4 linked regions of the Tamandua tetradactyla genome follow. The protein of the gene in region 1 purifies or fractionates together with the protein of each later gene. This does not show direct contact. Links are inferred from orthologs where the notes say so. Each region holds a gene or a part of one and is shown in the gene's direction. Other genes may lie near its edges. The genes, in order: PHLPP1, USP12, WDR20 and USP46.

Region 1 (7,858 bases):
GAACTAACTATACTGAAGAAGGAGATAGGTTGATTTTTACTGAAGATTTTTTTAAACAATGGTAATGCCTCCATATAAACTTCATTAGGAGAGGCATTTACGCCTGTACTGTTGACAGCTGGTGAACAGTGCCTGCACAAAAAAAGGTCAATAACCACTTGTCCAGAGAATGTCCCAGGTGACTTACATTGTTGTGGGTAAAGACCTCTATTTCCTGGCCTGAAACTTAATAGTTGTGATATATAGAACATCATTCTAATTCTTTGAGGCAGGATGTGAGAATTAAGAAAAAGACCAAGAATTATGGGATAAAAAAGGGTGCCCTAATATCTGAAACACTATTGAGTGTATCAAGTGGACTACCTAAGATGATAGTGGCAAATTAAACTCTTTTTTATAGAGTTCAAATTATAAATTTTATGAGCAAGGGATAAGATTTTGGAGAGACCAGAAGACCTGCAGTCTTCATCCTGCAGGTCAGCAGTGGACATATTAATTCAGTTGGGCCACCTGAGGCCCATCTGCACTAGAGCAGTAATTGAATAAATGGGCCCCTCATGGTAAGAAAGGATGAGTAAAGAGTGAGCAATTTAGGCATGGGACACTAGTAGCTCAAGGGATATAAAAATATGAAATTATAATTAGATCTCTTGTTCATAATATACTAACTAAAAGTATTACATTGTATGGTACACGTTTCTGAGTTTATTTCTGGACACTGCGGAGCCCTTTACAACTGACTAAAACCGTCCAGCTATCAATTCATGTTCCCATTAAAATTCCAACTGCTTATATTAGAAGAAAATAAATCCAAAGATGGTTTACTTTTATTTTAGATCTAAAGATGCACACTGGGACTAGCCTAGATGCAGAATACAGCAAGTCATTTATAAATCACACAGCGTAAAGTAAACAGTGGCAGCAAATTGAAAATTATGTTTTCTTTTTCTAAACATAACTGTGAAAATATTTTAACAAGTTGGCATCGGAGTTTGCAACTTTTATCTGATGTTTCTCTTCAGGATTATCTTGAAGCATTTTAAAATGTGATGTTTGGGAAAGTTCAGCTAGTCAGAAATGTGGTATTAGATTATACATTTGGAACACTTTACAGGAGGCATTCGTGACGTACATGGTTTCAGAACGCTGGCATATTTTCTACTGTATTTAATAGGAGAAGCTGCTATTCCAAGATATTTGCCCTTTAATGAAGTCTTTCTCCTACTCAGAAAAATTGTGTAGTGTGAGTTGGCATATTTGGTCCAGTTAATGTTTGATGATACGAGCACCCTCTAAGTACACGTTTCATTATCATTATCATTTCTGTTATTTTTACAAGGTTCCAGCTAATCTGGTGTTAAGGGGACTGTCTTCCCTTTCGGAATCTCCTTTCATCCCAACGTTCATAACTTTATTGCAACTTTATCGAAGGATTGGGGGTGACATGAGAGAGGAATCATCCCATGAACCCTTGCCCTTCTGCTCTCCACTCCACTCGGATGTTTATTATCCTGGGTTCAATGGAATCTTTCAGGTCACAGACTCAGCATGAAATTGAGTAAAATCGTACTCTCCATTCCTTCACGTTCCCACCCCCCCACTTTTTTTTTTTCCTAAGGGGGAATGCATTTCCTTTTTCTTCATACTGAGATATATTTCCTTTAACCCCAATTTAGTAATCCCTCATACTAAGTTTCTATTGTCTAGGAGTGTATGACTCTCCCAACGCCTCCCTCTCCAATATTTTGAGTTGAGTTCTTTGAGAAATGTTTTTTACTTTCATTTTTTCCGCCTCCACCCCCTTGGAAGGAGGTGCTATGATTAGAAATGCTTTCAAAGGGTAAACGAAATTCCTAGAGTATAAAAAGGCAGAGTTGTGGTGACTGTGTAAAGCTAAATGAAAAGAACCAGAGCTAAAATAAGTAAAATACTACAATTTCTTAGAGCAGATGCTAATGGACATTGGGCCAAGGATGGCAGAATTTATTATTAGAAGAAACTTTTATAGAGCTTGTTAATTAGCTATAGAAATATAACCTAGAAAGTAGATACTATTAGTTAATGACATTTCTTAATATAGGAAAAATTAAAGAGGTTTGTAAGAAATCAACTAAGGAAATAAATATAAACAGAAGATGTAAAGAGTTTGTTTTAGTATGGAAATTTAACATGAGCTTTGTTTGAAAATTTTATTAGTGGATGGCTAAATTGAAATACTAATCTCAATTTCTAGGAAAAATTGTCTTGGGGATATGTAAGACAAAGTATAGATTAGTGTAGTTGAAATTTATCTTCACTCTCCTTCTTTCTCTTTACCTCTTTTCCTTCGTTCAAAGACTGATCCTTCAACAAGTACTCAACTTTTATTCATTCCAGAAAACTTCCTCCAAAATTAGGTCTCCATTTTCTGACTCCCTAGACTAGGTGAGTTCCCCTCTTTTATTTGCATTTCTATGGAACCTTGTATTTTCCCTTCCCCACAACCATCTCAATAATGGAAGGTCTTTCTTTCTAACCTGTAAACAATATGAGGAAAGGGAAAATGCCTGATTTATTCAATGGGTGTAATATAGTGACTGGTACCCAATATATGTGTATAATTGCTAAATTAATTGACCTGAATATTTTTTCTCTGTTGGGAGAATTTGTGTTCTTCCTAATTTTTAAAAACAACTCAGTGCTGTTAACTGGATTTAAATGGAATAAAAATGAGGTTCATGAGTCCAAGGGATGACTTTAAAAATATATATATAGTGGGTGGGCCATGGTGGCTCAGCAGGCAAGAACGCTTACCTGGAATGCCAGAGGACGTGGGTTCAATTCCTGGTGCCTGCCCATGTATAAAATATATATATAGGAAGTCATTTTCAGGAATTTTAAGAATCATTAAGAGAAATATTTATTTTTAGTTATGGTAACTTCGTCCATTTTTCTTTAATGAAACCATGTGGATGAGTTAAGCACAACTTACCTTGCTCTTATCAGTTTCTATTATTTCAATAAGCTTCAGTTGTTCTCTCTCTCTCTCTCTCTCTCTCTCTCTCTCTCTCTCTCCCTCCTCATCCCAAAGTTTAAAGTTTTGAAAGTTAAGGCCGACCCTGGATAGACCTTAGTTGAAAATTTATCAGAAGTTTCATGTGAAAATCCACACTTATAAAACAATCTGGGGGAACGGCAATTCAATTAAAAAGGTTTGGTTTGCTAAATTCTTTTAAATAGTAACCTGCCCTAGTTCACCTTAAATATACATACATATATATATATTTAAATCCTGGGAACACACATTAATAGTTTCTAAAAAAGCCTGCAGATAAGGATTTCATCTAAATAACTGCTGACAATTGGAGCTATTTATGCCAGGTAGGAAATGTGAGGACACTTAAAGGGAGGAATCTTGAGGGCACTAAGGGCAGAAATGCCAGGCTTGCATTTTAGACCATGGCAAAATTTTAAGTGTTGAAAGGTTTTTTCATTCTTTGAATCTTTATTTTCACTAGACCCCTTTAGGATCTGCGTCCAATTGATGTCACATGTACCTGAGCCTGTCTGTCCATCTGTGACTGATAATGAGACACGTTTCTCTCTAAATGCTTGGCAGCTTTGTCAGGATATTCCGCGCATTTGTATTTCACCAAACTGGGTCACACACCACCTTGGAATGTATAGTGGTGCCACTATCTGGAAAACCACCTGCTGACTAGCGGCCAACTTCAAGATGTGACAGAACGGAAAGACTAATATTTTCTGGACACACTGAAATATTTGAGGACACGGTTGAAAACATGTAGAACTTCTGAACCTTCCAAAGTAGGGGCGCATCACAATATTGTTTTAACTGACTAGAAAATGCAGCTACTGCTACATTGTAGAGAAAATATATTTTTTCTCAATGCTGAAATAAAAAAACCCAGGGAAAATATAATAGAGAAAGCACGAAACAGCCCATATTACATCTCACCGTATCTCTCCTCCAACTTCTCTTCTCCTTTTCGCTGCTTTCCGTGCTATTAAGCTACTTCAAATTTCAAGACCAAAGGGAAAACACTCAGATACAGGAGAGGGAAAAGATGGGCTCACGGTCGCGCGATTCCCCCCAAGCACATTAACAACTGTCCAAATTAGGAAAGGGGGTTTGTAAGAGTGAGAACAGCGCGAGGTTGTCGCCGTAGATGGCCAGTTATCCTGTGGCGCGAGGGTCTGTATTGGTATCTACTCATACAATGCCTGGAGGTGAGGACCAGGGACCAAGCTTAGCGTCCCTCAAAACCCTCACTTTCAATTAGCAGGGAAAAGAGAAGTCATATGACGAGCGCCCGATAAAGTACAGTTTATGCACCGCCAAGACAAGCGTTGCACCCGTCCGGAGCTCAACACAAGAGGGCACGATACGCACAGTCCACAGGCAGCGGCCGGCGGCCCGGAGCGGCGGGACCTAAGGCTCGCTGGGGCTTGTAGTGCGGCAGGCTACCGTCGCGCACGCCCGCCAGAGCCGAGGAACTACTACTCCCGAGATGGACCGCGCGCCTCTGGCCTCCCGCCCGCTCGGGGACCTCGGGGAACACTGCCCCCGCCCCGCGCTCGCGTCACTTTTGTTTACCCTGAAGCCCCGCCCCCCACCCCCCTCAGGCTCTCCCCACTCGGCGGGGGAATGCCGTAATGCCCGCAATGCATATTCAGGAGGCCGTCGCGGAGCGCCCTCCCCGTCTGTCTCGCGCCTTCCCTCTCCCCGCGCGTGATTAATATTCAATGAGCCTCGGCGCGCGCTGATTCGCCCGGGTGGGGCGGGGGCGGGGCCGGGCTCGAGAGCCCGCGGCCCCCGCGGGGAGGGCACGCGTGGGGGGGCGGGGCGGTGGCGGCGAGGAGGGCGAGCGGGCGCGCGGGCGCGCGGGATGGAACACCGAGACACCGACGGAATGCTCCGAATTGCCACATAATTCCCTGGAACGGCCGCTCCGAACGCCATTGGCTTCTCCCCTCTCCCCGCGCCGCCGCCGCCGCCCACCTTCGCCTCACCTCCTCCCTCCCCGCCCGCTGCCTCCGGAGCTGGGGGGAAACGCAGCGCCCCACTGCAATGGAGCCCGCCGCCGCGGCCACGGCGCAGCGACTCCCCGAACCCGGCAGGGAGGACAGAGCTCCGGCGGCGGCGGCAACGGCAGCAGCGGCGGCGGCAGCGGCGGCGGCGGCGGCGGCGGCAGCGGCGGCGGCGGCGGCAGCTCTGGCGGCGGCGGCTGGGGGCGGCCGGAGCCCGGAGCCCATGCTGACCCCGGCGGCGCGGAGCGGCGGGAACGGCGGCAGCGGGGCGCGGACAGAGGCCCCCGCTGAGGCGCCGCCGGGGTCGCTGCCCGGCAGAGCTGGAGGCACGAGTCGCAGGAGGAGACGCGGGGCACCCCAGAACCCCGCCGGCGGGGCTGCCCCTGTGCCCGGAGCCGGCGGCGGCGCCAACTCCCTGCTGCTGAGGAGAGGGCGGCTGAAGAGGAATCTGTCCTCGGCCGCTGCCGCCGCGCACTCCCCCGGCGCCGCCGGCCTCGCCGCCTCCTGCTCGGCCTCGGCATCGCTGTGCACCCGGAGCCTGGACAGGAAGACGCTGCTCCTGAAGCACCGGCAGATGATGCAGCTGCAGCCGTCGGACCGGGACTGGGTGAGGCAGCAGCTCCAGCGCGGCTGCGTGCACGTCTTCGAGCGCCACATGGCTTCCACCTACCTGCGCCCGGTGCTCTGCACGCTGGACACCACGGCCGGGGAGGTGGCCGCCCGCCTGCTCCAGCTGGGCCACAAGGGTGGAGGCGGCTTGGTCAAGGTGCTGGGCAGGGGGCCCAGCACTGCCGCCACCCCTGGCCCGGACGCTGGGCCCCTGCCGCTGCGGACCGAGCCGCGGGACTGGGCGCCGCCGCCTGGGAGCAGCTGGCTGGGTGCCGTCGGGGGCCGGCCGCGCTCGCCTCCCGCGGACCTGCCGCTGCCCGGAGGCCCGGGCGGGTGGATGGGCTGCACTGTCCGCGCTGGCCCGGCGCCCTCCGACTCCAGCCCCGGCGACCGGCTCGCGGGGGGCCCTGCTCCCCCTCCCAGCGCCCCCCGGCTTCCGGACGGCGCGGCCGCGGGCCCGGCCTCCGACACCGAGAGCTTCAGCTTGAGTCCCAGCGCCGAGAGCGTGTCGGACCGGCTGGACCCCTACGGCAGCGGCGGTGGCTCCTCGTCGTCGTCGTCGGAGCTCGAGGCAGACCCAACCCCAGCCCCGACGGGGTCTTCGGACCAGTCCCACCTCTCCAGCCACTCCCCAGAGCTGTGCGGCGACCCCCGCGTCCTGCAGCTGTCTCCCGCGGCCTCACCGCCTGCGTCGCGGCCCAAAGCTCCGAAGGGCGTCGACTGTCCGGGTGGTGCAGCCCGCGATGGGCCGCGGGAGGAAAGGGCGGCGGCGGCCGCATCCATCCGCAGTACCTCGTCGACCCCCGGGGAGAACGCGGCGGCCGCGGAGAAGGAGGCTCCACCACCCACCCTGTACGTGCAGCTCCATGGAGAGACCACCCGGCGCCTGGAGGCGGACGAGAAGCCATTGCAGATCCAAAATGACTACCTCTTCCAGCTGGGGTTTGGGGAGCTGTGGAGGGTACAGGAGGAAGGCATGGACTCGGAGATTGGCTGCCTTATCCGCTTCTATGCAGGTAAGGCGCTCACCTGCACTTTGACGTGTGGGGTGTGCACATTTCATGTACCAAGAAATGATTGAAAATTGACATATACTTGCCCAACCCAAGAATAAATGCAGGTCCTCGTGATGCTTTGTTACTCCTTCAAAACTTGCGCGTGCCATCTGCGCAATGCCAAGTTGAGCAGTTTTTTAACCCGTGAATTTTAGTCAGTCTTGAGGGTCAGAGGTTGGAAAGTAATGTGGAGGGGGTGGCAGAATCTCCAGGAAGTACAGGAAGCAGGCAATAGTACTTTTAATAAGTGCTTCCTTCAGGCCTCTGGTCATAGGCATACTGGGTCTGAGGTAGTTTGGCATTACAGATAAACATCAAGTGCACATAATATGGACAGAGAAAATGTTCAACAAAATGCTCTAAAGCACCTCTGCACGCTTTTGTTCACAGTTTACTATTCTAGCTCTAAGTATATATACCAGCAGCAGCAGCTCCGTCCTTGTCACCTGATGCACCTGTTCAGCTCGCTGTTGTGCTTATTTGTTCAGAGTCACAAATACGATCCTTTTTGGTGATACTTGTCAATTTTTGGTTTTCTTTCCGTTTCCTCTGTAAGGTTGATTCTTGCATCAAAATAATGTTACCTGTTTTCTTCCCTAATTTATTTCTTCCGCCATTTATAAAGAGAAGTGGACATTGCGCTATGACTTGCAACACAGATCACAATAAGAAATTAAATGGTTCATGATCTCTTCAGATATGATCTAAAATCTTCCCCATTCTTTTTGCAATCCCAGATCAAATTCTTGACCAAGGATGACTAATGAAATGTTTCTCTTTTTGCTAAATACTTGGATGATGCTACATTAGGGGAGTTCTAGGTCCTGATTGTTGTATTTGAACTTTATATGTTGTTTGCATCCTATCCCTCCTCTGGATTGAAGAATTATGCTCTTAGTGAAAAGGGTTTTTATTTAAAATAGAGTTAAAATCATGGCAAAATTAAAACAGGAGAGAGTTAAATCTTCCCTGCTTTATTATTCTAGAGTGTCGGTGATGGTGGGAAAATAATCATATTTGTAACTATTACTATGTGGCCATATTTTCAAATGTAATGTTTTGTGGTCCACCTTGTGTCCTTGTGGCAGTTTAGTCAGTTTGAATGATATACCAGTAGCATTCCTGTTGGGAAGTTCATCTAAGTTTAATTGAGGTTTTCTGAA
Region 2 (7,246 bases), on another chromosome or scaffold:
AGTCACACAATTAGCACTTTTCTACTTTAGAGTTGTTTGGGTATAGTGTCTTCTTTTTTCAACTAGGTGGTGAGGTTTTTGAATACAAGAACTTTTGTCCTAAGGTTCTACCACAAAGCTTGTAGGGTAGGAGGAGCCCAACAGATATTTATTGAAGGAGTAAATGCAATTCCGATACAAATTTCTGAGTAATAAGAGATCAGAGGGATCATGCTTATGCTAAAGGACACAGTGTGTCCCCACATTACTACTCTATCCCACTCCTTCTCTACACAGAAGAAAAGAGTGGGTGGCGCAAGCAGTTGGAAAGGAGTCCCCTTCTCCAGCCAAGCTCAGCCACTTTTGAACAGGATCAAAACAGTTGAAATGATTGTGTTATCCTCACCAGCGTGTTGTTAGTCTCCTCTAGTGGGACCCACATTAACGAGGACCCAAGTACACAGAGAAAGTATTCTGGCTTACTTTATACTCAGCAGGAAGCAGGCTGTCTCCTATTGCAGACCTGTTATTATTTTGATGTCTCCTTGAAATTTGCTTATTCTTGGAAATTTGCTCATTCTCCTTGAAATCTGCAGGACTGGGATTCCATATGGACTGTCGTGTGGAGCAGGTTTTAAGGTAGGCTGATTCTGCCACTTATTATGGATGGGTATGACGGCAGAAGTCCCAGAGAGGGTCACTGTGGGTTGGATTGTCCCCTGGACATTTCGTACTCTTCTCCACAAACCCCCTGCAACACGCCCCATAGATACCTTCCACAGGTTTCGGGGCTTTCCCTCTGCCTAGAAAACCACCAGCCTTCCCCATCCCTCCCCATTGCTCAACCTAATCTTCTAGATTGTGAAGCACCCCCCACCCCCAGCTCACCCCTCCTGGGGGAAGAGCTGAACACACTCTCTTGGAGCTGATACCACTTGGTCCTTCATTCTCTCATCTCGTTTACCGTAATAGTCATCTGCCTATGCCAATGGACTTTGTGCTTCCTGAGGGCAGAGACTTCTCTAATGCACTATTAGATGATCAATAAATGTTTATTGTAAATTATGAGCACACATTTCAGTTTTTTTAAAAACATTTTTTTTGTGTGAAATATAACATATATAAAAAAACAATAAATGTCAAAGTACATTGTAACAAGTAATGATAGAACAGATTTCAGACTTTGGTATGGGTTACTGTACCACAATTTTAGGTTTTTCCTTCTATGTGCTCCAAGACTTTGGAGACTAAAATATCGATAAAATAATTCAGCAGTCATACTCATCTGTTAAATGCTATCTTCTCTGTTATAATTCCTCCTTCTCCTTTGATCTTTCTCCCAATCTTTAGGGGTATTTGGACTATGCCCATTCTAACGTTTTCATGTTGGAAAGGGTTGTCGACAATATGGGATAGGGGGATGGAATTAGTTGATGTTCTAGAGAGGCTGGGCCCCCTGCGTTTCAAGACTTATCTGTCCTAGGAACCCATCTGGAGGTTGTAGGTTTCTGGAAAGTAATCCTAGTGCATGGAACTTTTGTAGAATCTCAGAAAGAGCCATAGGGGTTCTTTAGGGTTGGTAGGGATGGTGTTGGTTGGGGTTTGGCAAACTATGGCAGTTAGCAGTATCTAGCTGACACTTGCATAATAGTAGCCTCCAGAATAGCCTCTTGACTCTATTTAAAGAATATCATCTAATTTCTAAACCTCTGAGAGTAAATTGTAAACATCATACCCCACAACTACCCTACTCAATACTTTCATGTATATTTCCTAAGAAGAAGTATAGACCATCACTGGGATTTTTTTTTTTTTTTTTTTTGGACATCCTCTGCTTGGAGACCTGGGAGTATTAATCAATACCACTAGGAAAGGTCAATTCATTCCCTGTCTAGAGGCAGGGTAGAGGAGGGGAGACACCTGGATTTTAGATCCAGGGCAAATGGGTGTGGAGAGGGCAGGAGTGCATAAAGGTTTTCAAATGAAAAACTTTGAAATAAAAGCACTGACCAAACAGATTAAGGTTGGCCTTGGTTTGTTCACTTACTTGACCCAGGAGGTATTTGGGGGGTATTTTAATGCTTGTACATTCAGGCAGGCCCAGAAATGGTACAATGAGGCTCTTGGTGAAGCTCAGACAGTTGCAGGTAAAACGTGTTCCACACCCAGTATACTCCTTGCATGCTCTGGGTGCAAGAGTGTGGGGTTCCAGGCAAGTCTTATCCCCAGCTGCATCACACATAATGGAAAATGCTCAGGCACAGCACCAGGCAAAGAAAGGGCTCTCTTCTTATATTTGAGTCTTTCTACTCAGCCTTAAGCTGGGGCGACAAGACATGTTTGTCCTGTCTGTGAATTCAGATGGCTCTCTACTGGACACGACTCCACATGATGCCATCAGAAATCCATTAAGTAGGCCTCGCTATCCTATAAATGTATGCATAGAGCTGGATTGAGTGGCCTCTGTTCCTGTCACGTTGTAGGTTTCAAGGACAAGGAGGCATGGTGGTGGGCGACATCGAAGGAGGAGGAGGTCAAATTCTGGCACATTCGATCTGCTCACTGGGACAAAACAGCAGGTGGAAGGACAGGATGTATAACAGACATTTTACCAAGATGGACAGGGCCCAGCGGCGTGGAAGACGAGGCCCAGGCAGGCCCCTAGGGTCTACGATGTGATGACTCTTGTCCAAACAGTGAGTAGCATAAAGCAAGAAAGAAACCAAGTGGGCGCTGCTTGCGAGTCTAGGCAGGGAAGCTACACACCTGTAAGTATGACCATAAGAAATGGACCTAGCTGCTGGCTTGGTGTCAGGGCAGACAGCCAGGGCCACGGCTTCCATGGAGAACCAGGCTGGCTACTATGGGACATGGCTATATTCAAGCTAATTTCCCCTACACAAGCTTATAATGGGAATCACTATGGAAACAGCACTCATGTAACAGAAATTTATTTCTCACCTACGTTGTGTGTGAATGCTATGTTTTGGTTTGAAATGCTTTTAGCCTATGAGGTGAGGCATACCAGATATTAGAGCTTTGTCTGAATTCCCCCCAGCCCGGCTGAAATGGAAGTTCCCCATCACCACGGATTGCCACTTGAAAAGTACCACAACCTTTCTAATACAATAATTTATAAAGTTCTCACTCGAAGTACTTTCTCATAAAGGAAGACACACAGCTGAGCTGTCTGACTTGAAGCACAGGTGCGACGGTAAATTTTATAAAAATAGTGAAGAGGAAATATCCCACCAGCTAACTGCTGCTTTAGGGCATCTCTCACTCGTGGGATCTAACTTCTGGTTTGGTCGCATCATCTCACTGCTGGGTTGAGGTCTTTCCTTTTATACAGGCCCTGTTGTCTAGTGTAAATATATTTAGATACTGTATTTATAAACACATTTTAAAGGCCAGCCGACAGGCAGAAAGCCAGGGTCCCTTATTACTCATCTTTTCTCTTTCTCTCTGTATTTTTCTTTGCCTTTCATTTTTATTAATTTACTAAAGTTACAGTACTTTCATCCAGATAATTATTCAATAATAAAATAAAACACCCCACAAAAAACCAAATCCCTTGCATTTTGGTATGTGCATGGGATGCTGTATTACTCGGGTTGTCTTGAAAGAAGGGGGTCTCCTCTCACCCCACCCGGAATGGTCGGATCATCGCCTCCGGTTTCGGCAGTGGTGGCTAGCTGGCTTGAGCCCTGGGGACAGGGCTGCGGGTCATGCCCCTTCAGGGTTGACCCTGGTCGCCCCCCGCTCACCCAGCCGCGCCGCGCCGCGCGCACCCCTTGCTGCCACTCTTCTCGGACCGCTGATGGCGGTCTCTAGGACCACGCGGGAAGCGGGGACAGGAGGCGGTGCCCGCCGCCACCCCGTCCCCAGCCGCGCGCGGAGTGAGGCGGACCCGGGAGTCCCGGCTCTAACGCTCTGGGACGGGGGAGGTGGGGCCTCGGCGGGGGGCGGGGCGCGCGCGGGGCGGGCCGGGAGGGAGCGCGGGCCGCGCGGCTGTGGACCGCCGGGCATTAGGGCCGGGGCGGAGCCCGCTCGCCGGGCGCGCAGGGTGGGGTGTGCGGCGGCGGCTTCTCGGGCAGGCGTGGGCCCCGAGGCAGCGGCTGCGCCCTGCGCGGGTGAGAAGCCGGGGCCGGAGGCCGAGGCCGGGAGAGCCCGAGCGCCTGCGGCGGCGGCGGCGGCCCTTCGGCGGCAGAGAGGGCTCGGTCCGGGGGCGCGCGGCGACGGCTCGGGCCCGCCGGGCCTGCGGCGAGAGCGAGCGGCCGGGCTCCCTCCTCCCGCGCCCGCCGCCGCTGTGATTGGGTGGAAGATGGCGCTGGGCGAATGGAAATCCTAATGACAGTCTCCAAATTCGCCTCCATCTGTACCATGGTAGGTGCGGCGCGCGGCGCGGGGGCGGCCCGCGGGGCCTAGTGGCGGGGGTGGCGCGGCCCCGCGGGGCTGTTGGCCCGCGCGGGGCCGGGGGGCTCGCGGCCTCGAGCCGGGGAGAGGAGGGCGCCGGGCGTTGCCGGGGGGCCGAGGCGAGCCGGCCGAGGCGGGTGGGCGGCTGCGGGCTTTCGCCCCCGGCTGGCGTGCGGGAGTCGGGCGGGGACCGGGCGGGAGTCTGGTGGGAGGCGGGTGGGGGGCGCGGGCCCGGGCGGGGGTCGGCGGGGGGACGCGGCGCCAACGGCTCGGTCTCCATTTTAGAGTGGCCGCGCGCGGAGCGGGAACTGTCCCCGGGGCGGGGGGGGCTCCGCCGGCAGGAAGGAGGGTCTCGCGGGGACGGGCAGAGGCTCGGAGTCCTGCCGGGGCGGCGGACGGAAGCCTAGTGCCCACTTCCTCGCCGGGCGGAGTCCTCCGACCCGGCTCTTGGGGGGCAGGGGGTGTGTGAAGGTGGAAACTTTAAATAAGTGCTGCGGACATCTTTGGATTTTCCACTCAGTGTGAGAGCGATGAGCTCTCACGCTCCCAGCCATGTGTCCAGGTGGCGGGCTTGTCCCCTGGAATCCACGCCAATCGTGAAAAGCAGGGTTCGCTTTCCTGTCATTTGTTTAATACACCAGACACATCTGTGTGTGTGTGGCTTGAAGTATTTCTGTGCAGAGACGTCACCGCAAGCGTATTGTATTTGTTTTGTTAGGGCTTTCAGATAGGCTTTAAGGGAGAACCGCTAATGTCCGTTTTAAGTCCCTAATTAAGCAAAAATGTGGGTGTGTTTAAAACTTGGCGTTTTTATGTTTGGCCACCAGGACTACGGTTTCCACATAATGGGACAGAATTTGTGTGATGAGCTCCTTATGAGTTACATCTAGGGATCATAATTCTGAGTCATCCCCGAAAGAAGTTAATTCTTTGTAAAGTGGGCCTAAAGTGGTTATATTATTGAAAATTTCTGAAATCTTTCCTTCTGTTTCAAGTCTCACTAGCCTTTTTTTTTTTATGTGCCTCATTGCATATAGGAAATCCCCAAGCAATCTTCGGATCCAAGGGTGGTTAGTTTTATATATCTTGCTTTAAGGAGTGGAGAATGGGATCGGGAAAAATCTTTAAAAGAAGATTCTAGATTTACTGCACGCTGAGAAACAGTTTTTAAAAATGACTGAAATTAGGTGGACTTAAAATCAACAGAATTAAAGAAATCGTATTGAAGGATGAATCATTGAAGAGTCCATTTACCTAAACGGATGTTTGTATTCTCTCACAATGCACATTTTAGAAAAGCGTTGATATTAAAGAGACTATGTTAAAACAATTTTTGCAGATCTCTTGGGCTAATTATTTTTAGATATGCCAAATGTTATCTTAGTTTCAAAAGGAAGGTGATAATTAAGTCTTTTAAAGTGATAACCTTGCTGTATTGCTGAGCTACACACTTTGTCGGGTCATAGTTCATTGTTAAGGTCTAGGGTTTTGGGAACAGAGGGTGTGTTACTTTATACTGACTAGTCTTCATTCAGTCAAATACAGAATATATTGGGCACCTCCTAAGGGTTAGGCATTGTGCTGAGTGGGTGGGCTACGGCAGCCATAAAGCCCAAGTCCCTGCTTTCCTGGTGCTTATATTCCAGTTCAGGGAGACCAACAGTCTTCAGGTGATCATATTAAAGTAATATATGCTGTAATAAGATTAGGAAAAGGAGGCACAGGGATTTGCCAGCGTCCTGCAGTAAGTGGTATTCTCATCTCTGGAATGTCAGACACTAAAGTGCTTTCTAGGGCTTCCGCCCAGGTCCATTAATTGGAGTGGTGTGTGTGTGTGTGTGTGTTGTTGGCAGATACAGAGACATCTGTTCATGGCCAAATGAGATTGTTCCAAAGTAGTATTGCAGTTGGGTGGGTCTGTATTCGTATCTGATGTGCTCCCGAAATAAAGTGCTAAGTATCTTGAAATAATCTGCAGTCATATTCTTAGTCTACAGAAAACTGCAGTCAATCTTCTGAAAAATACAGCATTGACAGTTGAGATGAGTAAGGATATTTTTCTCTTTTCTTCCCTGTCCTAGTCTGGCTGGGTCCTCGTCTCTTAAGCAGGTGTCCTTGCCCAGCCCCACTCTCTAGCCCCCTCTTACATAATTTCAGAGCATTTTTGTAATCTCAGTAACACTTATCATACTTACTGGTTGTATGTATTTCTTGTCTCCCTGTTAGATTGTGGGACCTGAGGCCAAGGATTATCATTTATTTCTCTCTCCTCAGTATCCAGGCCACTTTGATCTAGAGCACTAACCTCTGCGTACAATAAAAAAAGTTTCCCAGAGTGCATCCTTTCTCCCACCCAAACCTGGGGAAAGGGAGTTTGGTTAAGCACCGGAGAGATGGTGGTGATGGGGGCCAATGTGGAGCCCCTGGGAGGCGAAGGGCTGAACCTAAGGAGGGCACTTCTTGGAAAATTAGCAGCTGTGAAAATAGTAGGATGAATTGGAATTTTATTCTATAAATACCAAAGTATATGTAATTTCTTCTTGGGCAAAGCTGTAATACTGAAATTGGGTTAACTCTGTTAGAAGAAATCTCAGTTATGCCTTATTCTAGGTCACTGTTCTGCATTTACACGTGGACATGAGGCACCTTTGTTTTTCTGAAGTTAGTACTATATAGCTTGATCTAAAGGAATGATTTTTATTTTGATTGCAGTGAATTTGCAAAAGTACCTTTAGAAATGTCTTTTTTTTTAGATTTGTCCACGAAATAATCCATTTGCAGCATCACGTGGTGTTCATTTTGCCTCTGAGGCAGCTTCTGATTTCAGGGTCTGGCATGGAGCGGCCACCTA
Region 3 (7,916 bases), on another chromosome or scaffold:
GAAAAAATAAAACGAAAACAGAAATAAAAATTATACCTACCATACCCCTTACCCCTCGCTTTCACTGATCACTAGCATTTCAAACTAAATTTATTTTAACATTTGATCCCCCTATTATTTATTTTTATTCCATATATTCTACTCATCTGTTGAAAAGGAGCATCAGACACAAGGTTTTCACAATCACACAGTCACATTGTGAAAGCTGTATCATTATTCAGTCACCATCAAGAAACATGGCTACTGGAACACAGCTCTACATTTTCAGGCAGTTCCCTCCAGCCTCTCCACTACATCTTGAATAACAAGGTGATATCTACTTAATGTGTAAGAGTAACCTCCAGGATAACCTCTCGACTCTGTTTGGAATCTCTCAGCCATTGACACGTAGTCTCATTTCACTCTTCCCCTTTTTGGTTGAGAAGGTTTTCTCAATTCCTTGATGCTGAGTCTCAGCTCATTCTAGGATTTCTGTCCCATGTTGCCAGGAAGGCCCACACCCCCGGGAGTCATGTCTCACGCAGAGGGGGAGGGTAGTGAGATTGCTTGTTGTGTTGGCTGGAGAGAGAGGCCACATCTAAGCAACAAAAGAGGGGGACCAAAGTTTTAAATACCATCTATGTGCTGATGACTGTCAAATATACATCGGCCACTCAGATCTCTCTCCAGACTTGATCATTCAACTGCCTCCTGGCCATTTTCTCTGAATGCCTAATAGACATCCATACCAACATTTTCAAAGTTGAACTCCTGATCCTCCTTTCAAAACTTGCTCCTTTCCAGACTCCCCCCTCTCGATTAGTGATATCTTCATCCTCCAATTGCCTATGCCTACCATGGAGTCGTTCTTGACTCCTCCATTTCTCTTACAAGCCACATCCAATCTGCTGGAAAATCTTACTGGTTTTACTTTCTGAATTTATCAAGGATTTTCTTAAACTCTCAATCTCAATTGCTACCATACCTATCCAAACCACCATCAATTACCTTTGGCCTGGATCATTGCAGTTAGTCTCTTACTAGGCTAGAGGCCAGCCTCAAAGACCTTGCTATTCCTTGAACATTCTTGGCACTCTCCTGCCTTGGAGGCTTTTGCTTGATCTGCTCTTTTCCCAGCTCTTCCCAAGGCCCATTCCTTTGCCTCTTTCAGGTCTTTGGTGAAGGGTTACAGTTTCAGTGAGGCTTATTTTGACCACCATATTTAAAATTGCAAACTACTCAGCACACTCCTAATGCCCCTTACACTGCTCTACTTCTTTTTCCTAGCACTAACCTATATATTTATATTTACTATATATATATATATTTATTTATTTATATATTCCTCAGTCTCCTGTTATCCCCTGCAAGAACAATCTCCATAAGTAAAGGAATTTTTTTATTTATTGATGCATCCCAAAGGCTAGAACATTGTAGCATATTGGAGGCTCTTAAATAAATGTTTGAGGATATGAAAAATTTTAACAAGGTTTCTCTTATCCTTGAGTGTGCTCACAATCTGGCTGATAGGTTGGGTATATGCATTCAAAGACAAATATCAACATAATATATTAGCATATGCTAATAAACACCAAAAGAACATTAGAATGGTAGTCAGCATATTATATAATTGACAATCAAAAACTCAGAGAAATGTCATAGAAATTTAGCCCGGTGATTCTTAACTTTAGGGCGAGATTTTTAACTCTGAAAATCCGATGAAAGCTATACTCTGTTGATTAAGTGAACATATACATATAATTTTGAATACAATTAAAGGTTTAAAACACTTCCTGGAAACAGCCATGGATCCTGAATTGAGAATCCTTGGTTTAAAGTACAGTATATTATATCACCAAGAAGACTTTGGGAAAGGTTTGGTGAGGATGGGCCATAAACTAGTTCTCGAAGAACAGCCTATGAAGAAGTGAAATAGTTAAGAGTGACAGCTTTTAGCTGTTTACAGATTGACAGTAATGAGGATTTATGTGGTAAATAAGGGGTAGGCTGAGATTGCGGGTGGATACTTAAATCCTGTGGATACTGCCAAGTCACTGAAAGTTTTTGGACTTTGTTTAAAGCAGTGTTTTAAGAAAAAGCAGTGCTTTTAAAAATTAATTTCATAGTTGTTTATAGGAGGAAAACTGAAACTAAGGAAATAATTCAGGAAACCATTAGATTCAAGTTTGAGGAAATGGAAAGGGAACTGATAAGATTTACAGACTGATCAGTTTGAGGCACAAATTCATTTAGAAATGCCTGGTTTGTAAATGAAATTCAGAACTATATAACTACATTAGGCCTAGTTATACTGAATCCTTGGGAGTTGGGAAAAGAAAATATAAGAGAGAAGTACTCAGATTATTCAAATGCTTCAATTGGGGGAGGATGGTATAAGAGTAGTTCAGTTGCAGAATTCTTGCCTGCCATGCAGAAGACCCATGCTCAATTCCCAGCTGTGCACTATCCCCCTCTCCAAAAAAAAAATCAACAAATGGTGCTGTAATAACAGGACAGTCACATGGAAAAATAACGAAATGTCACCCCCACCATACAGCATTAAAAAAAAAAATTCCAGATAGGACAACATATTAATATTATTTGAATTTATATGCTGAATAAAACAGTAATAGAATGCTTAAGGTCTATAGGTCTTTTATGTAATTGAATGTTCTGGTTAATCTAAGGCTAATAAAAAATTTGCGTTCAAGCTGCTGCTTGCTGAGTCGTCCCCCCCCCCCCCCCCCCCCCGTTCTAGTTTGCTAGCTGCTGGAATACATTTACCAGAAACAGAACGGCTTTTAAAAAGGGGAATTTAATTAGTAGCTAATGTCCCAATTAAAACAAGTCTATAGAAATGTCCAATCTAAGGCATCCAGGGAAAGATACCTTGTTCAAAAAGGCCGATGAAGTTCAGGGTTTCTCTCTCAAGTGGAAGGGCACATGGCAAGCACAGTCAGAGCTCTCTCTCATCTGGAAAGGCACATGGTGAACAGGGTCAGGGTTCCTCTCTCATCTGGAAGGACACATGGTAAACACAGCTTCATCTGCTAGCTTCTTCTCTCCTGGCTTCCGGTTTCATGAAGCTCCCCGGGAGGCATTTTCCTTTTTCATCTCCAAAGGTTGCTGGATCGTGGACTCTCTGCTTCGTGGTGCTGCAGCATTCTCTGCTCTCTCCGAATCTCTTTCATTCTCCAAAATGTTTCCTCTTTTATAGGACTCCAGAAAATTATCAAGATCCGCCCAAATGGGTGGAGACATGTCATCACCCAATCCAGTTTAACAACCACTCTTGATTAAATCACATCTCCAGGGAGATGATCTGATTACAGTTTCAAACATACAGTATTGAATAGGGATTATTCTGCCTTTATGAAATGGGATTTAGATTAAAACATCCGTTCAAACCAGCACACCCCCCAAAAGCATTGTTATACTTTTAATATATATACCTTTTTCCTTCTCTTGATAACTAGGGAATACAGGTGAATTGGTTATACATGACTGAGGATGTCACTAGTTCTTCAAGGTGATCATTAAAAATACAAAATTTTGATGTAAAACACAATTATAGCAGATTGGGTTAAATCCATGGTATCATAGAACATACCCTGGTATTTTAAAAGATTTCTGATATCTATTTGACTTTTAGAGAAAGGCAGATGCCATGAAAACAACTGTAACAAAATTTTTTACATATTTTAGGGATTTATTAAGTAAATAGATTTTAGTCTAGTGCTTTTTTGCCAACATGCTCAAAGGTGCAGGATGTTAGTGTCAAATTCATTATGAGATCATTGGCAGTTTTTACTTTTCACTTGTTTTGTAATACATAAGATATTTATGATTTAGGCACCCTCACTTTAGAATTTACCTTCCTCAGTTTCTTTTGTGACCCTCTAGCTAGGATTTGAACTTGAAGAAACAGTTCATTCTTGGTGTAATCAATGTTGGCTTTTTTCCTCCAGGAATTATATCAGATTATTTCTGTCACTTAGAACCTTTCTTATTCTACTGCAACATTCCAAGAAATCCAGGTATAAAATGGTGATTGTTTAACCTTAATTTAACACCCATGCAAGTTCCTGCATAACTAGATCTAGTTTATGCATACAACTATACCTATGGATCTCCTAGTATTTTCACTTAAGGCCTTAAAAATAATTCAGTGACTTCTTTTTTTAATTAAGAGCTCTTAATCAACTATTGAGCATAAGTGAATCCTGCAAAGATTCAGCCTCTGGTGCCCAAAGCCATTTCCCGCCCCCCAGTTTTCTCTGAACAACTACTGGTGAAGACAAACTTCAGTTAAGAACCAGAAACGCCAACACGAACTATTCTCCTTAAAATTAGCCACTGCTCACTGCAGAAAGGAATTCAATGCTTGACCTGCAAACACCTATGCCATATGTATTTATACCCCACCCCACCCTCCCAAAAAGATGGTGAAGCATGAAGCTCTAGTCCTTCGGTACCTTCTAGGACCGACTCTAGGAGGTGCCCAGACCTCGGGATAGACATGCGGGTCCGGCTCAGCCCCCCGCGGGCTGGACCGTCCCCGGGCAGCCGAGGGCGGGTCCAGGAGGGGCGCAGCAGCGCCCTCCCAGCGTTGGGGCCCCCTCACGCCAACGCCGGCCGCAGCTGAGGAGGCTCCCCCAAGTTCACCTCAGTACTCCTGACCCCACCCCGGTCGCTGCTTCCCCTTGACGGCTCTCTCCGAACGCAGAGGAGCTCTTTGCGGGTCAGCGGATCGAAACCGTCCCCCACCTGAGTCTTCGCGCACAGCGCGCCAGGTGAGCACGCCTGCGCAGTCGGGTGGTAAGCAAGACCACCCCTTTCCTTCCGCGCGGCTCCGCGGGGCTGCTCGCGGGTGGGAGGGGCTAGACGGAAGAGGCGGGGGGTGGGGGGTGGGGAAGAGCGAGAGCCAGGGACGGCGCCTGCGCGGTGGGCGTGATCCGGGCACTTAGGGCAGGATGAACGCTGCTTTCCAAGATGGCGACGGAGGGAGGAGGGAAGGAGATGAACGAGATTAAGACTCAATTCACCACCCGGGAAGGTCTGTACAAGCTGCTGCCGCACTCGGAGTACAGCCGCCCCAACCGGGTGCCCTTCAACTCGCAGGGATCCAATCCTGTCCGCGTCTCCTTCGTAAACCTCAACGACCAGTCTGGCAACGGCGACCGCCTCTGCTTCAATGTGGGCCGGGAGCTCTACTTCTATATCTACAAGGGGGTCCGCAAGGTACCGACCCGGGCGTCGCCGGGGCTCGCCTGCGGCGTGGGCAGAGGCCGGGAACAAGGCAGTGACAGCGGGGGCCAGGGTGACCGACAGGGGTAGCCTTCGCTCTTACTTTTGAGTGGGCCGGTAACTCCACTGGGGTGTTTCTGAGGAAAGGGGATTCATGAGTAAGGAGGGTAGTGATGGTAGCGTTTCGAAGGGTTCGGGGAGGTGGATAGCGTCCGTGGGATGTGGGGTTCCGGCTGGGAGGCCTCAGAGGAAAGAGCTGCCTCCCTCCAGCAGGTCAGTCAGGCTCTGACATGGCCAGTGAGCGGCCTGCGAGTCCCCGGAAGAGGTAGGGTGGCCGTCTTATTAGCCCAGACCATCTCGCCTGCCCGGAGGTCTGGGAGTCTTGCTCTGGTTTAGGGAACGGGCTCCGGGCTGCTTAGGAAGCTCTGTAAGGCGGAGTTGGGATTGGGAACCGGAGACTGAGACTAGGTCAGAAAGGACCTGCTCGGCACGAAGGGCTACTCCACCTGCTGCCGCACTGACACTTCCTCAGAGCCTCTCCTTGTGGTTTTAACACATCTATTTCCAAAAACATCTGATGGAGGAGGCTGTCATTGTCTCCTCCGAGGAAGCCTTTTTCTGAGAGATTATTAAAGAGGATTATTTTACAGTTGGGAGATCGAAATGATGTTTCCAACCAAGTAAACTGGTTCACAGGGGTTCTGTGTGAGCGTGCTCAGATTAATCTTGTCCAACAAGTCAGACTATGTCCCAAACAGGGAGGGATATGGCTTAAAAGCTACTTGACAGGAACTACCCTTCTTGGCGGGTAATTTAACAGTAATTCTGTGAAGCATGTAACCATCCTTTAAAATATCTCTTTAAAAGCAGCAGTTCATTAGAGCTAGTCCCCTCACCCCCCCCCCCCGCCCGCATTAGATATACAACTGTGTTCTCACTGAGAACTGCTTACTTTTGAGATTATGGTCTCCGATTTGACTCGGAAGAGTGAGGAAATTAATGCACTCCACAGTACCTCGGTTTGAGAAAAGGTGATACAAGATTAATTTACAAGTGTTCGGTTAGAATGAAAATATTTGGTGCATATTGAAGACTGAACATTCTTTAGGATTCAGTATTTCCAGATCCAGTACAGAATTTTTATTTGGTTATGAGAACTAGGGAAGTGACAATGTTAACTAAATGTATCAAGTTTTCTCGTTCTTTTCAAGGTGAATCTTCTTTGTTAGCGTTTGTCGTTTGTCATAATAAGTGTATTATTGTGTTTAGAGTATGCCATTGGTAGTTACAGGAAATAAATCATTTGACCTTTTTTCCCCTTTGGGAATTGGGAAGGGGGTGAAGTGTTTAGTAGTCTTGGAGATGAAATTTTAGTCTTAGTCCCTACTTTGTAACTGACTTATTGGACAAGTTATTTAACGTCTATCTTCTCCTTTTTGAAAGGAGCATGTGGAAGTGTATATGTTGTAATTGATAATATAATAATTGTGATGAACTTTAAAGCCCTGAAATACTTAGTAGATGCAAAATATAGTTAAAATAAGCATTTAGAGTAACTGTCAAACAGGAGGCTGCCATCTTGACATTCGCATTAGGCCTGTTTTCTTTGGAAATATGTTTAGATTTTAAGTTATTAAAATTTATTTATATAAAATTTATATTTATATGCAAAGTGCTTAAAAACTTAAATTCACTAGCAATAGCAATCACTAATATAGGCATTACCCTTTTAAAACATTTTCTTTTAAAACTTTATCTTTTTATATATATTTTTTGTTTTTGAGGCATTCTAATGGCAAGCCTTATGTGAATATTAGTCCTGGTTTGCATCATAAAACAGGGCTCTTGCCTGAAAGTATGGTTAGAACAGTGTTCTCTTTTAGTGGGACACTTTATTCCCTGAAGGGTAAAACTAAGAGCTTTTCAAAACAATATCCCCCCAGAAAAAGATCTTATGACAACTCCTAAGCATTTAAATTACCTTTACCTGCATAATTTATTTGAGCATTTTAACTTCATTTTTGTAAAATTTCATTTTCATGTGGCGTTGTCTTTTAAATATATTTGCAGTAAGTAGTGGACATTTCAGTTCTCTCCTAGGTGTTGTAATTTTGTTTTGTTTTTGTTTTCCATGAATGACTTTGCATTCAGTTATTTTTTAGTGTAAATGATTGTTTTTGTGATTTTCTTTTTATTTTCTGATTTTAAAACAGAGCAAATAACTTATCCTTAAAAAAAACAAGAGTTATTTTTTAGTGTTAGGAGTTGTAAATTTTGGGTTTTTTTTTTCATTAAAAAAAAAATTTTTATTAATAAAACCAATCAACATACAATATGAATATTCTTTTTTATCACATAGTTGTATATTCATCATCATGATCATTTCTTAGAACATTTGCATCAATTCAGAAAAAGAAATAAAAAGAAAACAGAAAAATATTCATACATACCATACCCCTTGCCCCTCCCTTTCATTGATCACTAGCATTTCAATCTACTAAATTTATTTTAACATTTGTTCTCCCTATTATTTATTTTTAATCTATGTTTTACTCATCTGTCAATAAAGTAGATAAAAGGAGCAACAGACACAAGGTTTTCACAATCACACAGTCACGTTGAGAAAGCTTTATCATACAGTCATCTTCAAGAAACATGGCTACTGGAACACGGCTCTATGTTTCCCTCCA
Region 4 (7,079 bases), on another chromosome or scaffold:
ACCTTGTGCCTTCCCATGTGATATAGAATCCCAGATGAAAGTTAGCTGCTGTGCTGGCTTGAAAGGATTATGTACTCTAGAACAGCCATGTTTTAATCATGAACCTATCTTGTGGGAGCAACCATTTATTTTAATCCCTATTCAGCACTATAGGTTGGAAAAGTTGATTATATTATCTCTATGGAGATTGTGGGGGTTAACCTTTGATTAGAGGGAGATGTGATGCCACCCATTCCAGGTGGATCTTGATTGGTTTACTGGAATCCTTTGAAAGAGGAATCATTTTGGAGAAAGCATCAGAGTCACTAGAGAGAAGAGCCACAAGAACCACTAGTGCCCATGAAGCCAGAGACCTTTGAAGATGAAGGAATATGCCCTTGGAGGAGCATCAAGAAACCAGAAGCTTGGAGAGAGAGTTAGCAGACATTGCCATGTTTGCCATGTGCCTTTCCAGTTGAGAAAGAAACCATGAATGTCATTGGTCTTGAACCATGGTATCATTCCCTGATAGCTCAGATTAGACATTTTTATAGCCTTGCTTTAATTTGGACACTTTCACAGCCTTAGAACTATAAACTAGCAACTTAATAAATTCTCCTTTTTAAAAGTCATTCCATTTCTGGTCTATCACATTCTCTGAAATCTTTCAGCCACTGAAACTGTATTTTGTCTCATTTCTCTCTTCTCCCTTTTGGTCAACAAGGCTTTCACAATCCCATGATGCCAGGTCCTGGCTCATCCCTGAGAGTCATATGCCATGTTACCAGGGAGATTTACACCCCTGGGAGTCATGTCCCATGTAGGATTAAGGGCAGTGCGTTCACCTACTGAGTTGGTTTAGAGAGAGAGGCCACATCTGAGCAACAAAAGTTCTCTGGGGGCAACTCTTACGCATAATCATAAGTAGGTTTAGCTTCTTCGCTAAGTTTCATAAGGGCAAACCCCAAGACTGAGGGGTCAGCATGTTGAATTGATTGTCCCGTGTTTGTGAGAATATCAGGAATTCCCCAGTTGGGAAAGCTTAGCATTTCCACCTTTCTCCCCTAGTCCCTCAAGGGGACTTTGCAAATACTTTTTTATTCTCTGCCCAAATTACTCTGGAATGTAGTAGGGTATCACACTAACCTGTACAAACAAGAAGATCTCACTTCCTATTCAAGGTTCCATGTAACTATGGTGTTAAAGTAAACTGACCCTACAAGTTAAATTAGATACTGTACAACCCAAAATATAAATTTTGCACCAAATAAACATTCCTTCCTTGGTTTCACATAAAGTTGAAGTTTTAAAATAGTATCATTCTTTACTCTGTATTCTGATTTAACTTAGTCCCATCCAGATCAGCTTCATTCATACCCATAGCCGAAGTCTGATCACTTTTTCAACTTTTTCAATAGTTGCTGACTTTCATAGCTTCAGAGCTCTAACACTATCTCATGTGTCATATAAATACTTGAAGGTCCAGGGAATGACCAGGCTATACACAGACAGCTCAGCATCTCAGAATTTAGAAATAACAGTTACAACTCTGGACTAGATATGACTGCTCCAAGAGCTTACCATCTAGGACCCTTTACAAAAGGACCCAGCCTGAGAACACATGCTCTCTGGGTCTGTATTTTTAACAAGTGCCCAGGTGATTTGTTAGCCGATGGACCACACTTTGCACACCAAGGAGATGGAAAGATTTCTTCCTTCAAACCTATTTAGGCTGTTTAAGCAAGCCTTTAACTCATCACTCCATCTGCCTGCTTTTCTCAGTCCTCACTCTACTGGTCCCTGTAAGGAACACTTTCCTCAAAGTTCTCTCATTAGCTTGTCAACATTTCAAAAGTTTACCTCTTATCACCTCCAAATAATGTTTACTCAACTGAGTAGAGCTGACATGATGATTATTCAGCCCAAGTCTCTTCAAATTTAAACCTGTGAACACCAACCTTGTAGTAGTGTAAAAATGTATTATTATTTATGAGTCTGACAAGATCTGCTGTGTGCAACTTATTAGTTGTGTATGTAATTCACTGCCTGATTTCAATCTGGATGTTTGTCCATATTTGAACACCTCAGTCTTAGGCTGTTAAAAAGACTTTTAACTTGCTAATATAGCACTCAGCAATGAGTGTTTTCAATCCTGTGAACTCTAAATCCATCATGCCAACGTCAGAAGATGGTATACATTTTCCATATCATGTAAGGCTTTGGATTAACATCTTTATAGTTGAACATCTGTGCAATTGAGTACTGAGGCCTGAGTTTCAGCCTGAAGTTGCTCCTGAACTTGTTTTATGACTTTCCTCAGAGCTTTAAAACATCCTGGACATCAGTTACACAATTGCCCATAGTCTGAGTGTCTTGCTTGTCTTCCCCTCCTCCTCCAATTTTCTTCAGCCAAATGAGCACACCAGCTTCTTCTGGAATTTGGGTAATAAGCTCTGGGTAGGATACTTGATCCTCTAAGTCTAATTCACTCGCCTGCAAAAAAGAGATAATAGCATCGACATCAAACACCTGATAGCTATTGTGCCAATGAAGGTGATCATGAATATAAAGCACCGTGACTGACAATAGTAAAAAAGCAAAGTTAACTATAACCATTGGCATTCTCAGGATCCATTTGGAAACAAGATTAAGGTAGAATGATATAAAATAAGCAGTAACTTTTTTCCTTAAATCCGTTGAAAATTATGTTCCCTCAAAATTTCAGTCAGCAGATGAATTTATCTTCTTTTATTTCCACCCTAGTTCCTGGGGATATTAGACATCATCTTCTTTCAAATCTTATGTGCATAACACTAAATAGATAATGGAAGATAAGGGTGGCATTTTCCTAGCACCCTGGTTAGATAAAAAGCTTTTTTCAATTATAATAATTCCTCTTCTAACTTAACTTACTAAATACATTTATTGGTTTAAGAATTCATTACGCGTTTAACATGCAAGAACTTCTTTTTGAAAGCATGCTTTGTATGGAAATAGGCTCCTTCAGTTCACCGAAACCTGTATCTGCTAAGGGGTGTACAGATTCGCGCTTTGAGCCAGTAGCCACGACCTCTATGGAGGAAATGAATATAATACGCTGGTACAGCATCCCTCTTAAAAAATAAAAAAGTTGGGTGCCCCTGGGAGAGTATGTTTTTCTTGAAATGCGAAAAAAGTTTTGTTTTTGCACTTTTCGGATTCAAATAGCTCCTTTGACAGTCCTTGCCCAGAACCGGGACTTTTCCTTTGTACCTGCTAATGTCACAAATTGGCTGAGTGCACCGTTGCTGGCCTCTGCTCAGATTCACTTTCCTGTCCCCTCCCAGCGCCCTTTACCAGGCTGCCGGTTCGCTGCCGGCCAGGGATTTCTGACCACTCCCTGATCCTGACCCCATTTTACTTTTGGGGTCCTCACCGGTACCATGCGGCGGAACCAAGGGAAGAAACGAAAAGCTAGATATAGTCACCCTGCCCCGCGCCAAAAATAAAACCCCAGGGTTGATGGCGTGGGGGAAGGGGAGCGGCGCAGGGAGGAAAAGGAAAAGCAGAAAAATCCAACACGGAAAACCGCCCCTTGTCCCTAGCGGCCCTTTCCGCGGAGGCCGGAGCCGGCGCCCGCCGTAGGCTCGGCCCCTTCCGCCCACCCCGTGAACGCCAGGCGCTGTCCCTCCTTCCCCGGCGGCGCCGGCCGAAGTTGATCTTTCAGTGTTGCCAAAGGCCCAGCGGTGGACCGAGGGGACCGCTGCTGCCGTGCCGGGGTCTGCTCCGGGGTGCAGGGCCTGGTCCTGCATTACTGCCCAAATAGTGAAGCAGGAAATAAAGGGGAAAAGAGCGAGCCCCGGCGGTGCGGGGCAGGGGCGGGCGGGCCACGGAAGGAGGAGCGGAGGCGCAGCGGCCGCGCAGGGGCCGCGCTGGGGCCGGGCCCGGGGCAGGGCGCACGGCTGGAGTGCTCGGAGGAGCCGGCGCGGACTCCACGCGGCGCGCTCGGGCCGCCCCTCTCTCCGCGCCGCCGGCCTCGGCCCAGGTTCCCCAGCTCCGCCACTCCCCGCCCCTCCGCTCCCCCTCCCCCTCCCCCGTCCTCCCCGCCTTCCCCGCCCTCCCGGCTGCCTCCTCCTCCTCCTCCCTCCCGGCCGCCCTCTCCCAGCCAAACTGAAAGCCGGACCCCAAGCCTGCTCGCCGCCGCCGCCCCGTCCTCCCGGCGACCGCTCCACCATGGACATTCCTGTTTTCACCTTATAAAGATGGCGGTGCGGGATCGCTGCAACCTTTAGACTAATGACTGTCCGAAACATCGCCTCCATCTGTAATATGGTGAGTAGTCGCCGCCTCGGGGGTCGCGCCCGAGGCGCGGAGAGGCGAAGAAAGGGAAACCCGAGCCGCACACACGCCCTGCGCGAAGGGGAGGGGTGGGCGGCGGGGTTGGGGTTCGAGGGGGCGGCAGCGCAGGCCGCCTCCGGAGGGGTTCGCCCCACCGTGCGGCTGGAAGTTGTCGGCCCCGGAGCTGGGCGGGCCGGCTGCAGCCCGGTGGAGCAGCCGTGGGAGGGGCCCGAGCCCCCCCCCCCCCTGCGCCCCTCTCTCAAACCCCGGACCCGGGAGCGGGCCCGCGTGTCCCCGGCCGGCACCGCCGTTCCCCGCCCTCGGGTTGCGGTGGAAGCGGCTTGGGGGGAAAGGGGAGGCCGAACCCTGGACGTCCCGGAGGAGGGGATTGGGGGATAAGGTGGGGGTGGGTTAGGGGGCACCCTCCTTTCCTTGCGATATAAATCAAGCCCTGCAAGGCTCTCTGACCGCTCCCTTCTCATTTTCGGTGCATTTACTTTGCAAGGGCGATCCATGTGTCTGGAAAAATTCGAAATGTAATAAAGCTGTAAAAAAGAAAAAAAAGTGTAAAATTGTGGTGAGAGGAATGAAGTTCTACCTGATTGGGAAAAGCCAGGTTGTTTGCTGTGGATATCCCAGTTTCCCCATCTCTGAAAGAGGCACAAGGTTATCTGGCAGTAATATTCGGAGGCCCTCAAGGTGGGGCTGGCAGTGGTCGTGGCGCTCCACTGTAGAGGAGGTGGATGGGCATGGGCACAGCAAGGGGACATCACTTGGTCTCTGATGGAGTCAGGGTCCATGATGCAGTGGCCACTTCAACTTGTTCCTCCCACTGCTTTCCCTTCCTTTTCATTTTCTGCACGAACTGCTTCCTGCCTTTAGGTCCCCAGAGTGCATTCTGCTGGTGCCCCTACTTGTTGGAGCCTTGGGGAACCCAGGTTGCCCTTAGAAGTGAGACATCACTTTCCTTTGCAGGAGGAAGGATGTGTGCTTTGCCTTCACTATGGAGGTTTCCCTACCCAACCCTGACCCCAATCCTCTCCCTCCACCCTCCTCCAGAGCTGGGACACATGCTTTTTTAAACCAGTTTTGGGAAAACCTCCCTTGAAGCTAGTAATAGAGGTCCCTAAAGGGAATCTGAGGTGCTTGGTTGAGAAGCCTTGGGGAAAGGTGATCTGGCTGCCCTCCCCCCATCACACAGCATTTTAATCTTCTGTCTCACATTCTGTTGCAAGATAAACACATGGCAAAGGAGCATTAAGGAACCGTGTGTTAGCTCAGGGGTGGAGTTGAGTCCCACTGATGCCGCTTCAGTTTTCAGCATTGTAGGGCCATTCCTGGAAGCAGATGCCAGGCTTCCCAGAGTGAGGCTGCAAAGGTGTTGATGCAGGGAGAGTTAGATGTAGTGGGTGGCTCCTGGAGCCTTTGCATTTGCTCTATCTTCCTTTCCCATGGGAAGACAGCTGGCCTGCTCCTTTTTGAGTGGCTTTAATGTTACTTGGTGTAGTGAAAAGGTGATGCCTTTCTCTCAAATTCTTTCTCTGCTACAACCAGCTCCTGAGGGGAACCATGAAACCAGAACAGTTGAATACTTTCTTTCATGCTTGCTGGGGTGGCCTCAGGCCTACAGGGGTGTCAGGCACAGTCCCAGCCCTTGGTGTGGTTCCTGTTCTGCCTGTGCTGGGGTGACACCTCTGCACTGAAGCAGGATGGAAACTGGAAAGCTATCATGACTCAAGAGGACAGCAGCCTCTAGCTCTTTCTTTTGTCCTTAGTGCAGCTGGGGGCTTCTTGGCAGACCTGGGCAGAAGGTCACAACCTGCTTCCAGTGAAGCTCAAGGCTGAAAGCCCCAGCCAGGGAGAAAGCTGTGGGAGGACACAAGAGGAGCAGCAGGCCAGGTACTGTTGTAGGCTCAGAATTTGTCCAGGGACTTGACATCTGATGTGAAGGTAAAAAGGTAGCAAATTTAGGATCATCACCAAGTGATGAACAGTTTGGGCTCGGAAGTCAGACTTGCTTCAAGTCCTGCTTCTACACATAGTAGGTTTGTATCCTTGAACAAGTTACTCTCTATCTTACTTTCCTTATCTATAAAATGGGAATGATAATGATTCTTACCTCATAGAACTATTGTATTACATAAGTTTTTTTTTTTTTTTGAGGTGGGTGGGTACAGGGCCTAACACAAAGCAAGTGCTCAGTGTTTAGCTGTTATTGTCAAAGTCATCTTCCTCATTATTATCTTGCCTTCTGATTATCTAAGGGACAGTGATTATGTCTTCTTTTCTGAAGGAAGCAGCTACTAATACAAACAACCTTTCAGCTTGGTTTATGCAAACCAAGCTGAAAGGCAGCTTAGAGAAAGGGCTGGGTGAGAATCCTTAACTCCGCCCCTTTTCAAACACTGCTCAGGTCACTCCTGCCCCACCCAGTCTCACTTACCAGAGGAGAAAACTTGGTAAAGAGACTGCTGCCTTCACCTGATCAGACGTAAATTTTCATTGGACCCCACTTTAGGTTCTTCACTCCATGATGAATTGTTTCCAGGTAGGACTTTTATGGGTCTCTCCTTACTGTTTAGCACCTTTTTGAGGCTCTTAATGTCCCTCCCCATTCTTTATTTCATTTGGTCCCAGCTAATTTGAATCCTTGTAGTAAAATCAAGTGGAGATTGCATTTTCTTTTAAGTAGGTCATTTGGAGTATTTTAAACATGCTGATGTGCATCCTGGAAGGGTGTTCAAAAACGCTACCATTCTGAGCGAGACTTGAACAAACCAACA

The links.
Region 2: the proteins of PHLPP1 (region 1) and USP12 purify together in Homo sapiens (affinity purification with mass spectrometry; 4 studies listed by BioGRID and IntAct, with this or other methods). This does not show direct contact. The link is inferred for Tamandua tetradactyla from reciprocal best matches to the Homo sapiens genes PHLPP1 and USP12.
Region 3: the proteins of PHLPP1 (region 1) and WDR20 purify together in Homo sapiens (affinity purification with mass spectrometry; 4 studies listed by BioGRID and IntAct, with this or other methods). This does not show direct contact. The link is inferred for Tamandua tetradactyla from reciprocal best matches to the Homo sapiens genes PHLPP1 and WDR20.
Region 4: the proteins of PHLPP1 (region 1) and USP46 purify together in Homo sapiens (affinity purification with mass spectrometry; 7 studies listed by BioGRID and IntAct, counting the BioPlex papers as one, with this or other methods). This does not show direct contact. The link is inferred for Tamandua tetradactyla from reciprocal best matches to the Homo sapiens genes PHLPP1 and USP46.

What each region holds. Positions count from the first base shown.
Region 1 is NC_135344.1:19,506,895-19,514,752, reverse strand, and holds the start of PHLPP1 (PH domain leucine-rich repeat-containing protein phosphatase 1), read left to right. Parts: upstream 1-4,852; 5' UTR 4,853-5,071; coding exon 5,072-6,656; intron 6,657-7,858. UniProt on the Homo sapiens protein: Protein phosphatase involved in regulation of Akt and PKC signaling.
Region 2 is NC_135330.1:192,409,160-192,416,405, reverse strand, and holds the start of USP12 (ubiquitin carboxyl-terminal hydrolase 12), read left to right. Parts: upstream 1-4,229; 5' UTR 4,230-4,317; coding exon 4,318-4,365; intron 4,366-4,460; exon of another isoform or gene 4,461-4,532; intron 4,533-5,432; exon of another isoform or gene 5,433-7,246. UniProt on the Homo sapiens protein: Deubiquitinating enzyme that plays various roles in the regulation of the immune response and inflammation.
Region 3 is NC_135338.1:63,627,507-63,635,422, forward strand, and holds the start of WDR20 (WD repeat-containing protein 20), read left to right. Parts: upstream 1-4,909; 5' UTR 4,910-4,971; coding exon 4,972-5,220; intron 5,221-7,916. UniProt on the Homo sapiens protein: Regulator of deubiquitinating complexes. Activates deubiquitinating activity of complexes containing USP12. Anchors at the base of the ubiquitin-contacting loop of USP12 and remotely modulates the catalytic center of the enzyme.
Region 4 is NC_135345.1:52,904,437-52,911,515, reverse strand, and holds the start of USP46 (ubiquitin carboxyl-terminal hydrolase 46), read left to right. Parts: upstream 1-4,076; 5' UTR 4,077-4,254; coding exon 4,255-4,290; intron 4,291-4,735; exon of another isoform or gene 4,736-6,826; coding exon of another isoform or gene 6,827-6,844; intron 6,845-7,079. UniProt on the Homo sapiens protein: Deubiquitinating enzyme that plays a role in behavior, possibly by regulating GABA action. May act by mediating the deubiquitination of GAD1/GAD67.